Drosophila melanogaster: one gene and its partner. Changing the gene in region 1 together with any one later gene gives a genetic interaction. Each region holds a gene or a part of one and is shown on either strand. Other genes may lie near its edges.

Region 1 (7,951 bases):
GTTTTACTTTGAATCAATATAATTATACATTAACTACATGAGTTAAAACTCACATGATGAAAGTCATTGAAACTGCATTACATCTGTTTAAAGTATATACATATATCTGAACTGAGATCATACAATATGCATTTTGCTAAGCTATTTTCATAATTTATATCCGAGGGATCTCCAAAAGCTGATAAAAACTTGAGTTAATAAAACTTAAGCCATAAACTTCGTACTTAGCCTGCATCTAATAATTTACCCGATTGTTGGGAATTGAAAATCCATTTGTACACCAAGTTCGAACGAATAGTTCTATATCATTAGTTGGCGACTTCGTGTCACTAATAACAAGTTGGGGCTAAAAGCAGCGCGCCCTCGAGAGGATTTCGTTGCATAAGATTCGTAACTATTGTTACAAATTACGATTGCCTTTTAATTGCTGGATAAACTTAATGCCAGTGGTTTAGTGACTTTTTAGAATTAAGACTATTGAAGGTGAGGTCGATTAATATTTGCGATATGCTTCCAGCGGAGACGGACTTGCTGTACCCCAAGGGAAACGAGGAGTGGCTGATCAGATACCTGCGGCCCTGCAAGTATTACCCGGAAAGTGCCCGTGATCTGGTGAGTCTAGTGTGGCAACCCAGTTTCCAGCTGTGTTACTAATTGTATATATTCTGAATATGGAACAGATTAAGCGGTACTACGCCTTCAAGGTGAAGCACGCGGATGTGTACACCGACCTGAAGCCATCGAACGAGGCCAACATCTTCAAGCACAACATCCTTACCGTCTTCCCCAACCGAGATCAACTGGGTCGTCGCATTTTGGTCCTCGAACTGGGCAGTAAGTACACTGAAAGAAGGATACTTCAATATATTAGCTTTTGAGTGCAAAGATCTCGATCTTCAGAGTAAAGTTTATTTTAGTTAAGATGCAGGTTTTCCTATCATTTGAAGTTTCATAGTTGCTCCAAGCATTGAGCAGATCCTGTATTAATCTTTCGTAATCCCCGATTACAGAGCGCTGGAAGCACAAGCAGGTCACCCTCGATGAGGTGTTCAAGGGAGCTGTGCTCTTCCTGGAGGCGGCCATGCTGGAGCCAGAAACACAGATCTGCGGAGCCGTTGTGATCTTCGACATGGATGGCCTCAGTCTCCAGCAAACGTGGCAGTTTACGCCTCCGTTCGCCAAGCGCATTGTGGACTGGCTTCAGGACTCGGTGCCGCTCCGGATCAAGGCCATTCACATCGTGAACCAGCCGAAGATTTTCCAGGTGGTCTTTGCCCTGTTCAAGCCCTTCCTCAAGGAGAAGCTGCGCAGCAGGATCATCTTCCATGGCACCGATCGCGAGTCCCTGCACAAATACATGTCGCCCAAGTGCCTGCCAGCCGCCTACGGAGGATTCCGGGAGGCCAGCCGCATCGACAGCGACCAGTGGTACCAGCTGCTGCTCAAGTGCGACACCGAGTTCGACACCATCAACTCGTACGGCTACAAGAAGAAGTGATCTGTGGCCACCGGCCTGGTGCTGCTCGTGATAATCAACTCCACTCGTTTCCACACGTCTTCACATTAAGCCCACGTGGAGCGTTATAGTTAAGCACTCGATCTACCATACGCTTGTCCTGTTAGTGAGTAGCGCCTAGAGTTTGCCTTAGTCTTAACCAGGATCGGAGTGTCGATCGCAGCCAGAAGAAGTGTTATACCTACATGCATATTATTTTAATCCGGGGTAAGCGTATTTATATCATTTTACTATTGTACATTAAACCAATTGTTAAAATATAAACATACTTTGTAAACAAACACGTGCGGTATTCATATTTATTCGTTTGTTCCCAGCTTTCACATCAGATAAACACACTTAAGGCACTCCGAAATTATGCAATATATAAGGAAAAAATGTAGTGATTACATTCTGATTGCCTTATGCGTAGTACATTAGACACCTAAAGCTTGCTTTCCTCAAGCAAGACACTTGGTTATGGTAAAGCTTATATACGATTGTTATAAGAGTATTTCATACCGCATATATTCGATACGGTAACATAACAAAATAATAACTTAGTAAGATAATATTAAAGCATAGCAAGTAAAAATGGAGATCCTATTCTTGACATAGAAGCTAGCTCATAGTTAGCTCGCTGTGAAGCATAGTTCCCTTAGAATATCAACCACAACGAGGCAATCCACTCTCTACAGCCATCAACATTGGGTGGATGGGTTGCCTTTCGGTCTGAAGCTCCTGCCCCTCCGCGGACTGGAATGCATTGAATCTGAAGGTCAACCCGGCGGGGTGAGTGGTTAAATTAAGCGTAAGTTTCCTGACAGCTCCTGTCTGTCTGCTCATAGCCGATAATTGGTGGCTGGCGCCTTGCTGGCGTTGCGCTTCTGGCCGAACACTTTCTTGCCCGGACTGTGCATGGCGGCATCATCGCCATCCGCGTCCTGCCCTACGCCGCCGCCACCGCCTCCTCCGCCTGTGCAACAGATGCGCCGCTGCACCAGGCGAATGGGGCGGGTGAGGTCAATGGTGTCGCCGTGCTGGCGCAGTTCCGCCTCGGCCACGCACTCCATGTGCCGCCACTGGCGAAGGCCAAGGACGAACGCATCCGTCACATTGGTGGCCGCCTTCGATGACGTCTCGATGTGGCAGGCCACCTTCTGCTCCGCGCACCACTGCTGCACTGCGTCGGAGCTCACCTGTCGCTTCTGCGCCGGAATGTCGTTCTACAATTGGAAGCAATTAACCTTTTAAACTCAAGATGAACGTTCTGCAAGCATGGCTCACCTTATTTCCCACCACGATGAATGGAAACTTGTCCTGGTCCACATCTGCGTAGTTGAGGAACTCATTGCGCCACACACCCAATCCCTTCAAGCTGTCCCGGTCGTCGAGTGCGTAGCAGAGCAGACAGATGTCCGATCCTCTGTAGAACGGGGTGCGTAGAGCCCGGAATCGCTCCTGGCCAGCGGTGTCCCATATCTAGTTTGGGGAAATTCCAATTAAGGCAATGCATCAATTAAGTTTGATTGAATTGGCGATTCAAATGGCGCTCAATTGAAATTTGCATTCGATTAGAAGCAAACTCACTGAGAAACAAACACTTTCGCCGTTTGAAAACCTATGGAGTGTTTGCATGCCTGACTGACTCACTTATATCAACACATTTACTGTCATTTCTTGTGTGTTAATTAAATATTTAGTTTTGAACTGATAACGAGGTGGTGATAAGCAATTAGCTCAGGAAATAGTTCGTTGAATCTGAATTTTCGAGTAGCATACATACTTTAAATATTTATTTTATACTTTTATTTATTTTATACTTTCGAACATGAGGTTATACTTTTAGCTCTAACAATGGATACTTTAAACTTCTTTATCTAATATAAACACCTTTGGCCTCCAAACACATGGGTGGAATAACCCTTTTAGGGTGTGAGTACTGCCCATGGTAACTAAGTGACTCCATACATATGTACATATGTATATAGGTAGTGCAAAAAACACCCCAGTGATTCCACGATTTTTTGCAGCACTGGGAAATCCGCTTTTGGCCAAGTTCTTCCTGTGCCCAGCGAACTGTGAACCAGCAAACTATGCGAGATTCCCGTCGGATTAGTCATATGTATATCAATCAGTCCACATTCGCTACTTCCTACTTTATAATGTATCTGCTGGTCCAATTAGAATTATTATTCCGATTTGCGACACCTTGGCTGCATTTTGCTTACTCACTGAGACGCGCTGCATATTCATGAGTTTTCCGAGCTTGGCGAACTGTGAAAATCATTTAGTTCGATACTTTTGAAGACAACAGTCCGAATGGAAAATGGAAAACAACTGCGATGCGGATGAGATGGAGCGGGGGAAACCGCGTCGGCGGATGAAACAAAGTCTCTCACTTGTTTGCCGAATGGCGAAACTGTCATTATTGTTATTATTTCAGTTTTTTGTTTCTGCAATGCCATTCCGTTCTCAACGCTAATTGAGTAGAAATCTAATGTTCATATATGTGTGTGTGTGAGTGGGGATGGGGCAGATGGAACAGATACCCCCATAATGTAGGTACAGCTACAGTGGAAAAAACTACGTAATTAATTGATTGCACATATTTTTTTCTTAATTTCAAATGCAAGACTCAAAAACGTGTCAGTAAGATAATACTTTTCTCTGGTATACGAGTGTTTCAAATGGTTCAAGGAATGTATAGTCAATGTTTCCTTGTTTAAATGGTTTAATTTGTTAGCACTTCTGTTTTTACCCTGTTTAACTTACTAAAGTTCCACTGTGCCGCGAATGTAAGGGAATGGAAAACAAGGCTTAATCGTTGTGTAGTTTCTAAGTGTTTGCATCAACAAAATGCCGGTGGATCGGGCACAACCATGCGACGGTGGGATAGATCCGTTTGGGGGGGGGGGGAGGGGGTTAGTGTTTAAGTGAAATACACTTGAAGGAAATACGCTTGGCCAACTGTTGCATTCACCATAAGAATTGCAAAAGTTCTACGGCCTTGCCGCAATATCGGTATTACTATTACTCCTAGTCAGTAGTTGGATTGCATAATAGTCATAGTCGTAGTCTTCACCTGCAGAGTGTAGCGCTCCCCGTCGACGACTATGTCCTTGTTCATGAACTCCACGCCGATGGTGTGGAAGTTGTTCTCCTCGTAGCGATTGGCGACGAATCGGGTGAGCAGGGCGGACTTGCCAACGCCTCCGTCGCCCAGTATGACGACCTTCAGCAGCTTGGACTTCTGCGGCGGCCGCATGTTCGTCATAGTGCCTGCGTTTGTTTGTTCTTGCAGTTAAGTCCGGCGGCAACAGCAGTGGCTAGATTTCTTTGGCCTTTTCCTACTGCGCAGCTTGGTTGACTGCCGGCTGCAGTGAGTTTTCGGCTTAATTGCACTCACGATTCCCGAGCGATTAGCAGGCGCACATACAGAATTGCACACGGCGTGTTGTTAACAACGAATATAATTCGTTTTTTTTCGTTTAAATAAATCGAAATGGGCAGCTCAATCAAAATTCGCGCCGTGCAGCAGGTCCAATTGGATTGGCAGTCAGCTGACAACTAACAGACCGGGCCTTTGGCCTAACATAATGCTAAGCTCGCCGTTAACAGAGCGCCAGTGTGGGGTGACCACAGCTCACTTAACAGCTTAACTACATAACTGTTAACTTTGAATAAAAAAACGAAAACCTCTTAACAAATTCTATAAAAATTTTAATTCGTTATTAACTAAATTGACAGCCATCGGACCAAATGTTTATTGACTTAATCACAATAATAAATTAGACTTAGCCCTTGATAACTGCAATTGGGCGCATCTTGATGCACTTTTTGCTGATGCCAGCTGCGTGACAGGTGTCGACCACATCGGTCACGTCCTTGTAAGATTCGGGTGCCTCCTCCATGACCAGTTTGGGCGAGGCCACGCGTATGGCGATGCCCAACTGGTCCAGCTTGTCCAGCACATCCTTGTAGTCCAGATTGCGCCGGGATTTGGCTCGAGATAGTGCACGACCCTAAAGATTCAAGGAGGTTTTAGTCTGGCGAACAGGAAGAAACGGGATTTGGTTACTCACCGCTCCGTGGCAAGTGCTACCGAACGTCTCCTGCATGCCCTGCTCCGTTCCAGTTAGCACGTAACTGCAAGTGCCCATGGTTCCACCGACGAGGACTGGCTGCCCGGTAAGCTGATAGTCCACTGGGATCAGGGGATGGTGTGGCGGGAAGGCGCGCGTGGAGCCCTTCCGGTGAACCAACAGCTTCCGCTCCTTGCCGTCCACCATGTGGTTCTCCACCTTGGCAATATTGTGCGAAACGTCATAGATAACGTGCATGTCGAGATCATCGGGTGTGGTGTTAAACATCTTGGCAAACGCTTGACGGGTGAGGAATGTCATGGAGCTGCGATTCACCCAGGCAAAGTTCGCAGCCGCCGCCATGGCCTTCAAGTAGTCCTGTCCCTCCACCGAATTGATCCTGGCGCAGGCCAGCTGCCGGTCATTGGTCTCGATCTTGTCCCGCTTCATGGCCTTCTCCATCTGGACCAGGGCGTCGGTAGCGACCTGGTGGCCGAAGCCACGACTGCCCGAGTGAATCATCACCACCACCTGGCCCTTCTCCTCGATGCCCATCTTGGAGGCGCTCCACTTGTCGTAGATTTCGTCCACCACCTGGATCTCGGCGTAGTGATTGCCCGCACCCAGAGTGCCCAGCTGGGGCAGCCCTCGCTTCTTGGCCCGCATGCTCACCTTGGCGGGATCGGCGTTCAGCATGCGGCCGTACTCCTCGCAATGCTCCTTGTCCTCCGCCCACACGTATCCCTCGCGCAGCGACCAGTCCATGCCCATTTCGAGGGCCTCCTCCAGATCGCGGGCATTCATGGGTATGATGCCCTTGGAGCCCACACCCACGGGTATGTGATCGAACAGGGACTGCGCCAGTTGCTCCTTCACCGGCTGCACATCCTTCTCGTACAGATTCGTGCGCAGCAGACGCACGCCACAGTTGATGTCGAAACCCACGCCGCCGGGACTTACAACGGACAGCGGATCGTTCATGTCGAAAGCAGCCATGTTCCCGATGGCAAATCCGTAGCCGGAATGAATGTCGGGCAGTCCAATGGACCTGCCCACGATGCCCGGCAACGCGGCCACATTGGCTATCTGCTTGACGCCAGGCAGGAAGCCACCCACTGCGCCCGGGCGACAGGAGTTCTTCAGCTCCTCCAGCATCAGGCGCTCCAGCCGGCTGTTCACATAGAAACACCCCTCCACATTCATATTTGGCTGGAAGCCCTTCTTGATGCGCCAGCAGTGGTCGCTCACTTTCTCCAGGTACCGGAGCTCATCGTTGTACGGACGCACCACCATCCTGACTCTCCGGTCGTTCTCTTTGCCAGCCAATCGCTTCTTAAGCTATTTATATTTATGAGCTATTTCACCAGTTTTTTATTTCTGAATTGCATGCCGGCACAAAATATTTGTCAGCGATACTATCGCAGTGCGCGATGTGTAAAATACCAGACTTAAAGCGATACGAAAAATACCGCCTTTACACTTGCAAACCAATTGTCAAATATCGTATTAAGGTAAATTTATTTGCTTAAATTAAATTAAAAATGCTAACAAATTGAACAGCGCTGTGTTATTAAGTTATCCTGCTAACATATTTATGTGGTGGTATGCTTGCATTAAGCAAAGTATGTTGCCCAGCTTATCTGTGCGAAAGCAAGCAGTTTAAACTAAGCAGTATTCTCTCTAACGGAAATTTAAAACTTAAGTCAAATTGTATTCAATTATCTACTTTTATTAACTCAAATTAGTGCAAACGAGAAATTGAATTCTGTCGAAAAGAAGAGCTTTTCGGTTGTACATTTGTTTGAGTGTGTATTTTAAATGCAATTGCAATCTCTTGCATAGTAAAAGACAAAAATATTTACAAAAAGAGTGAGTTCATATCAAATATAGAATCCAATTCCACTGAGATCTCTGCAAACTGTGCCACATGTACTCAGGCGGTCTTGAAGTACTCATTATAGCACTTGTAGTAGTTCTGTATGTAGGCAGGCGGGCCATATATCTTAAAATCTCCCTTGATTAGGTCACTGACGAGGAAGCTCAGGTTCGGGCACAGCCGTGTCAGGTTTTCGGGGTTAAAGCCCATGGAACCCAAGGTGGTTAGGTGAATGAGCTTCAGCGATGGCAATCTGTTGAGTAGTTGCGGCTGCAGATAGGAATCACCCGTCTGATTGTCAATGTGGAGTAGAGCGAGTGCCTTTAGCTTATCTGCCGATTGCAAGAGCTGTGCTATCTGGTAGTCTCGCACATCGCAGTGACGCATGTCCAGAAATAGCAGCGATGGAACCACCTGGCCCACAGTGCCCACTATCTCCGCCGACCACTTGGCATGGTCCAACTTCAGAGCCCGAATCCTGCGGCTCTCGGCGGC
Region 2 (5,870 bases), on another chromosome or scaffold:
ACTTCCACAAGCTGGCACAATTTTGTCTTGATTCGAATGGCATAAACAGTCATATCCAGGTGGCGAACGTAGCGCACTATTCCTAGCATCATGCCTTCGATGCTTGTAACACCTAAATGTTCCGATGGCGAGGGTTGATCGTTGTTGGGATCCTTGTTGGCTTTGGGATCCAGAATTGATTTCATTATGTAGATGGTGTGCTCGATAAACTGCGTGTTGATGTCGGTCACATTGACGTTCACCTGACCTTGCTGATCGAAGAACTTCTCCACGATGGCTCTAACCTGGTCGAAGAGTATAGGATACAGTTGGGTGGACATCTCCTCGCCCACCAGTTCCTTCACATTTTTCTGAATATTAAGTCCAATTTTTTCGTTGCTGCAAACTAACAGGCGCAATAGTTGGCCCACGAATCTAAATTAAAGTTATAGGTTATATATGGGACATGTTAAAATAAATAAAACCTTACTGTGTTACAGGACAATAGCTGACATCTTGTGGCGGTGCTGGGGGAAGAGTGGATAGTGAAACCGTGCTAGGATGCAGAGAGCCATGTCCAGAACTTGTGGAGCTTGAGTAAAGAGAGTTTTGAGCAAGTGATCCCAAAGAAGCATTGTTCTGTGATTGCTGCAGCAGCATTTGACGACTGCTGCTACGTTTATGAAGGCAGACGCCACCCAAGGCTAATAGAAACCATGTCATATTGGCCCATTCATTAATTTGTTCCTCCAAATCGTGCTCTGAGCTTTGGTGACTCGCTCGCCGCTTGCCCATGCCACGATGGAAAACCTCCGCTTGGCCATCTTCTCCTTTACATTTGGGGTACGTTTGCAAAACCTTGCTGGATACTTCCCAGTTGCGGAAGGTTTCCTCCCAGGCGGGCTGAACACCATGAACACAGTGCTCGATCTTGCGCAATAGGGTCATTATGCGCTTTTGAAGTGTAAGACGGCTCAGCACATTGCCGTGCGTGTTGTCAAAAAAGCAAATGCGAGAGTCCGTTGCAGCTAAAACGAAATTATTATTAATAAAAATATGTATGATGAATTTACCAAACTCACATGTGGACAACTGAGCCAGCTCCTGGTAAATGTGGTAATTCGGCATAATAAATCCGACTGTCAATTCATCAGAACTGCAGCAAATCTCAGCCTCCTCGCATAGTAGTCCAAAACACGATAGCGATGTCAGCACCGCATCTAAATCAACACTCCACAGGTACATGAAGAAAACAACTTCCATCTTAATGTGAGCCTGCTTGCAAATGGCAATCTGACTTCCCACATGTGCATAATCCTTGTGTCGCTGAAGAAAAGTATTCCGACAGATGAGGATCTCGCGTAGCCACTTTAAGACATCAGTGTAATTGGCAATTTGGTGTTGAATGAGCTTTTGCGAGATTGAAAACAGTACTTGGGAGCTAACGTCCCAGAACGTATTGATCGGAGCCTCTGGATTCCAAACCTCTATTTTCTCCGGGGCGTGCAGAGCAAGCAGCGCCTCCATAGCCTCTTGTGCCACATCGGGCATGGTAGTTTGATGCACCAAACTAACTAAGCCGTTGATGAGCTCCAATGTGGAGCTCTGCACTTCATGTGCCACTTTTCCTTGGGTCTATATTACAAAACAATTGTTAAATATGAGACTATTATCGATCAAATTATCAAATAACTCACATTCAACAAAAGCGTGGGATCTGCATGAATTAGCCGTACGAGTAGCAGTAATAGCATTTTGTGGGCGGGACCCTCTTCAGCGCGGGTTAAACCTTTCTGGGTATCTTTAGATTTGAGCGTCAGGGAGGTTATGTAGCGCAGTGGCGTATGGGCTATATAACCCTGGGTGGCCTTGTTGAGCGTATCCGTAAACAAAGCTCGTAGCTCAGCAGAACGGTAGTGAACCACATCCGTTTGCGGCCACCAAGACAATCTCGGTTGGTTTACTATTCGAAAGGGGTTCTTGTTCTGCAAACGGAAGTCAACGTATATGTGAGCCAACCTATAATGGAAAGTATACATGTAAAAGTCAAGAGTTTTATATAGCTACCCAAGTAAATTACCTTAGCAGAGAGCACACAATTACAAAATGGTAAGCCTGCGGCGAGGACAAATTCAGGCAAACCTTTAGAGCCTCGATGTTGTGAGGATTAATCCGGAAACAAGACACCCAGCAGTCAATCATCAGCTCGATATCAGCGAAGTTGTACCCCTGACCGCGCGAAAAGGGCTTTGCTGGATTAAAGAGCAGTGCCTTGAGATCGTTGATAAAGAATTGCACCAACTTGAAGACCACATTATTGGAGTCGGTGTTGTTGATGTAGGTGGATGCTTTGCACAGCTTTACACAGGCAATTGCCGCAGATTCGGTCACCTGTTTGGATGGTGAGTGCTGGCCCAAGCCTCTCTTGATACTCTCGATGAACTGCTTGGCCGAGAAGTCCTTGTCCCGGGACGTGGATTGCGCTGACTTCGAGGCAACCTTTTCCTTGTCCTTTTCCTTCTCTTTCTCCGACTGCTGAAGTTCGTTAACAACAGCCTCAAGGCAAGAGGGATTCAATATCAGCAAGAGCATTTGAAGCGGCCAAACAAGAGTCTTGCTTTTCTTGTTTTCGGTTTTAAAGTACTCTACAAAGTCCATCAGGGGTTCCCAGCAGCTAAACGAAACAGGATCAATTAATGTGACTTTAAAAACGCTTGTAATTCCTCTTACGTTGATATATCTCGATTGGTTCCTCGTTGCAAGTCCTGGAACTCTTGTGGATGGTACTCGATCCAGTTCCAAATAGCCTTCTCCAGCGAGTAAAGCAAGATCAAAGGTGGAGCACGCTTCGATCGAAACTTTGTGATGGTTTCTGGAAACGTAAAACGTTGTTTAACCTTTCCGAAATATTAAAAAAGTTAGTTTACCTTGTAGCAGCTTGGTTAGCTTTATCATATCCATATCGATGTGTTGAATTAATTCTATGTCGTTGTAGTCCGGGTTTTCCTCGGAACAGGATGTCAGCTCTTGAATCCTGGCCGATATGCGATTGAACACCGCCGAGAAGTGATTCTGGGACAAGGCAAAGAGCACCTTGGATGCCAGGGCCTTGAGCTGGGCGGCATTCGGATTGCTGTCGCTCTGGACGTCGACAAACTGGGAGATCTCGCGCAGCAGAAGCTTCACATTCATGGCCTCTTCAAAACGTGCTGTGTCCTTGGTCTGGTTGGTCAGACAGCGTTCCAGAGTGGTCAGTATGATGACCAGCGACTCAAAGTAGCAACGCTCTGGCTCATGGCGATTTTGAAGGGCCTGCAATGAAATTTTTGTTTAAGTAATTTAATCGTATCCTAGCCCCATAAAATAAGGCAACATAGTTTAAGGGTTAACAATAGAGAATGGAGTACTTACCGCCTCATTGACCCTCTGCAGCATCTTGGTGAGACCGGATATGACAAGGGAGAAGCGGTAGCGCGATATGTGGATCAGACAGGCCACCAATTGGTCCTGGCTCATCCTGGCCTGCGTGCCATAGGCACCGATTCTGTTTGGCAGCTGAAAAAGTAAACCATTGATTGCTCAATTCCACTTCATTCATGCGGGAACCGGTGTTTTTGTTATTGTTGCTATCTCGCTCTCCCACGCATTTGATTGAGAGCTCACACTGACAGAGCGGGTGAGGCACGCACACTCGCAAGGTCGCTGTGAGCATGTGTGGGGGAGGAAGAGGCAGAGCAGCAGGTACATTTTTTCGCTTGCGAAAACGCAACTGCGGAAAAGCGATTGGAAAACACTTGCCTGATCCTCGAAACGTGCCAAAAGGGCGCTAGCCCACTCGCCTGGCTTCTGGGTCATCTTGTTGTGGTGTTTTAACAGTTGTTTATGCGTTTTTTACTGCATTTCAGCAACTAAATAGGGCAGCTTTTCGTTGAGCTTGGGGAGTGGCAATTGGTTGAGTGGCATCTTTGTTCGTTATCCTTGGTGTTTTTTTCAGTTCCTGAGACGTTCACTTCCTTCTCTTCCAACAATTTGGATGGTTTGGCTTTACAAAACGGGCACTGTTTCTTTTTTTATGGGAATTTTCTAAGGGCTTACAGGCTGTTATTTGGATGTTTATATTGTGTGTGTACCGCCTTCCATTTCTTTCACAATACCGAAACGCTTTTATAAGTGATAACAATTACATCCTATCGATATATCGCTTATTTTCAAATAGTGATGGCATCAGACCAACTAGTACTGAATTCATTAGGGTGACCATAAGCCACAAGTAAATGCGCGCGCTCACAGGAGCGTTTAAAAATTCCAAAAATATTTGGCCTTCATTTCGTTCTATCTCATTTGATGCTATTATTTTATATGGTCTAAGTGTTCCAATTAGAAATATAAATGATTTTTAAAACAGATTCAGTTCAGTAAGTATTATTAGTTTATTTAATGTTGTTGTTAATGCATTACAAATTATCAATATTAAATATTTCAGATGGTTTTGTAGCTTGGGTTTTGAGTTAATTCCGTTTGAGTGTGCCTGTTTGGCTCTGTGCAAATTATACATATTTTCCAGCAATACTTAATGTTTATAATGTTTCAGCATTTCGAGCAGTAATAGGTTCAAATCGAGTTCTATCTGTTGTAATTTAGTGTTGCGTCCAACGTTAGTTAATATTTATTCAATTGTTCTATTATTTTACGGTATAAAGTTAGTTTAGCTAGCTAAAAAACACATGTACAGTCGCATATAGGTATATATATGTATATATTTGGTTTTATTGAAAATGTTTGCGTTATTTTTCAAATAACCCTTCTTAAGCTGACAAAAATTTGAGTTTAGGCATAGGCTTATGTTACAATCGTCTTATTGGCCGTTTTTGGGAAGTGAGTTGGGTACTTTATCCAATCAATTAAAGTAAATAAAAAAGTGCTTTAAAAAGGTGAAAAATTTATATATGTGGAAAATTGTGAGCTTGCGGAAAGAGTTTCTTAAACTGTTTTGTGTATATATTTTTGATTTTACTTTGCATTCGATATATGTACGGTTTTCTCATAGATTTAAATGCAGTTATTGATATTTTTAGAGGGTTCTATTAACTTTGCAGTTTTAAGGAGTGTATACATGCACGTACATAGTTGCTATATTACTTTGTTCTAGCTGCTTAACTGGTATCTTGATTTTCTCTTGTATAAGTGGTATATGTTGGCTGCAATGGACGTTTGATGATTATTCGCTTCGAAATTATAGCATAAAGTGCTTGAAACTTAGTCTGCAGATAGCGCAAGATACAAACAGATGATCGTTGTAAATAGAATATGCTCGTATAACTAGTAAGATTTGTATTTAGCTTGCGTTGTTTCGTTATCGCATTCGATTCGATTGGTTTCGTTCTTACAGCTAAGTTTTCCTTTGAAATTGGATTTCAATGCAGTGCAATCCTGCGTTCGCGTCCTTGAGCAGGCCTGCTAACAATAAATTAGTGCTGGATAGCAGGACGGGCCTTCCCCGCCCCGCACCGCCAGCCGACTAGAGTAATAGACTAAATTTAACAATTCCTTTGGGGGCATCAGATCAGAGACTACAGCTAGGAAATGGGCATTTGTTTTAGATCAGGGATTCAAACGGGTAAACGGGTACGCCTTGAAAAAATCAAAAAAGCTGCTTGGATTTTGAATGTCCTAAAAAGATATTCAAGTGTTTTTGTAGAGCAACTTAAAATGTATTAGATGCGTATAAAAAAATGTAATTCAAAGTAATTTAACGTATATCCTTTAAATATTTGGTATACATGCTTCGGTCCCAGTAATAGCAAATAAACTTAAGTTTCGTTTCGAATCCCCGTTTGAGAGTTGGGTGCTTAGATGGTCCACACCTGAACCTTCTCGGCCACCACACACCA

The links. Genes that interact genetically often act in the same process or in processes that back each other up.
Region 2: of Rab9 (region 1) and Nf1, changing one suppresses a phenotype caused by changing the other (phenotypic suppression), as found in Drosophila melanogaster (one study listed by BioGRID).

What each region holds. Positions count from the first base shown.
Region 1 is NT_033779.5:19,429,693-19,437,643, reverse strand, and holds Rab9 (Rab9), read right to left. Parts: upstream 5,071-7,951; 5' UTR 4,773-5,070; coding exon 4,581-4,772; intron 2,978-4,580; coding exon 2,783-2,977; intron 2,722-2,782; coding exon 2,338-2,721; 3' UTR 1,803-2,337; downstream 1-1,802. Other genes in the region: CG10237 (uncharacterized protein), read left to right, coding at 518-612, 681-834, 1,011-1,498; RtcB RNA ligase, read right to left, coding at 5,293-5,520, 5,581-6,873; CG13085 (uncharacterized protein), read right to left, coding at 7,514-7,951.
Region 2 is NT_033777.3:25,981,256-25,987,125, reverse strand, and holds the start of Nf1 (neurofibromin 1), read right to left. Parts: upstream 4,114-5,870; 5' UTR 3,835-4,113; coding exon 3,778-3,834; intron 3,535-3,777; coding exon 3,391-3,534; intron 3,292-3,390; coding exon 2,907-3,291; intron 2,852-2,906; coding exon 2,710-2,851; intron 2,654-2,709; coding exon 2,060-2,653; intron 1,999-2,059; coding exon 1,677-1,998; intron 1,615-1,676; coding exon 1,062-1,614; intron 1,008-1,061; coding exon 470-1,007; intron 415-469; coding exon 1-414. Other genes in the region: fid (fire dancer), read right to left, coding at 5,829-5,870.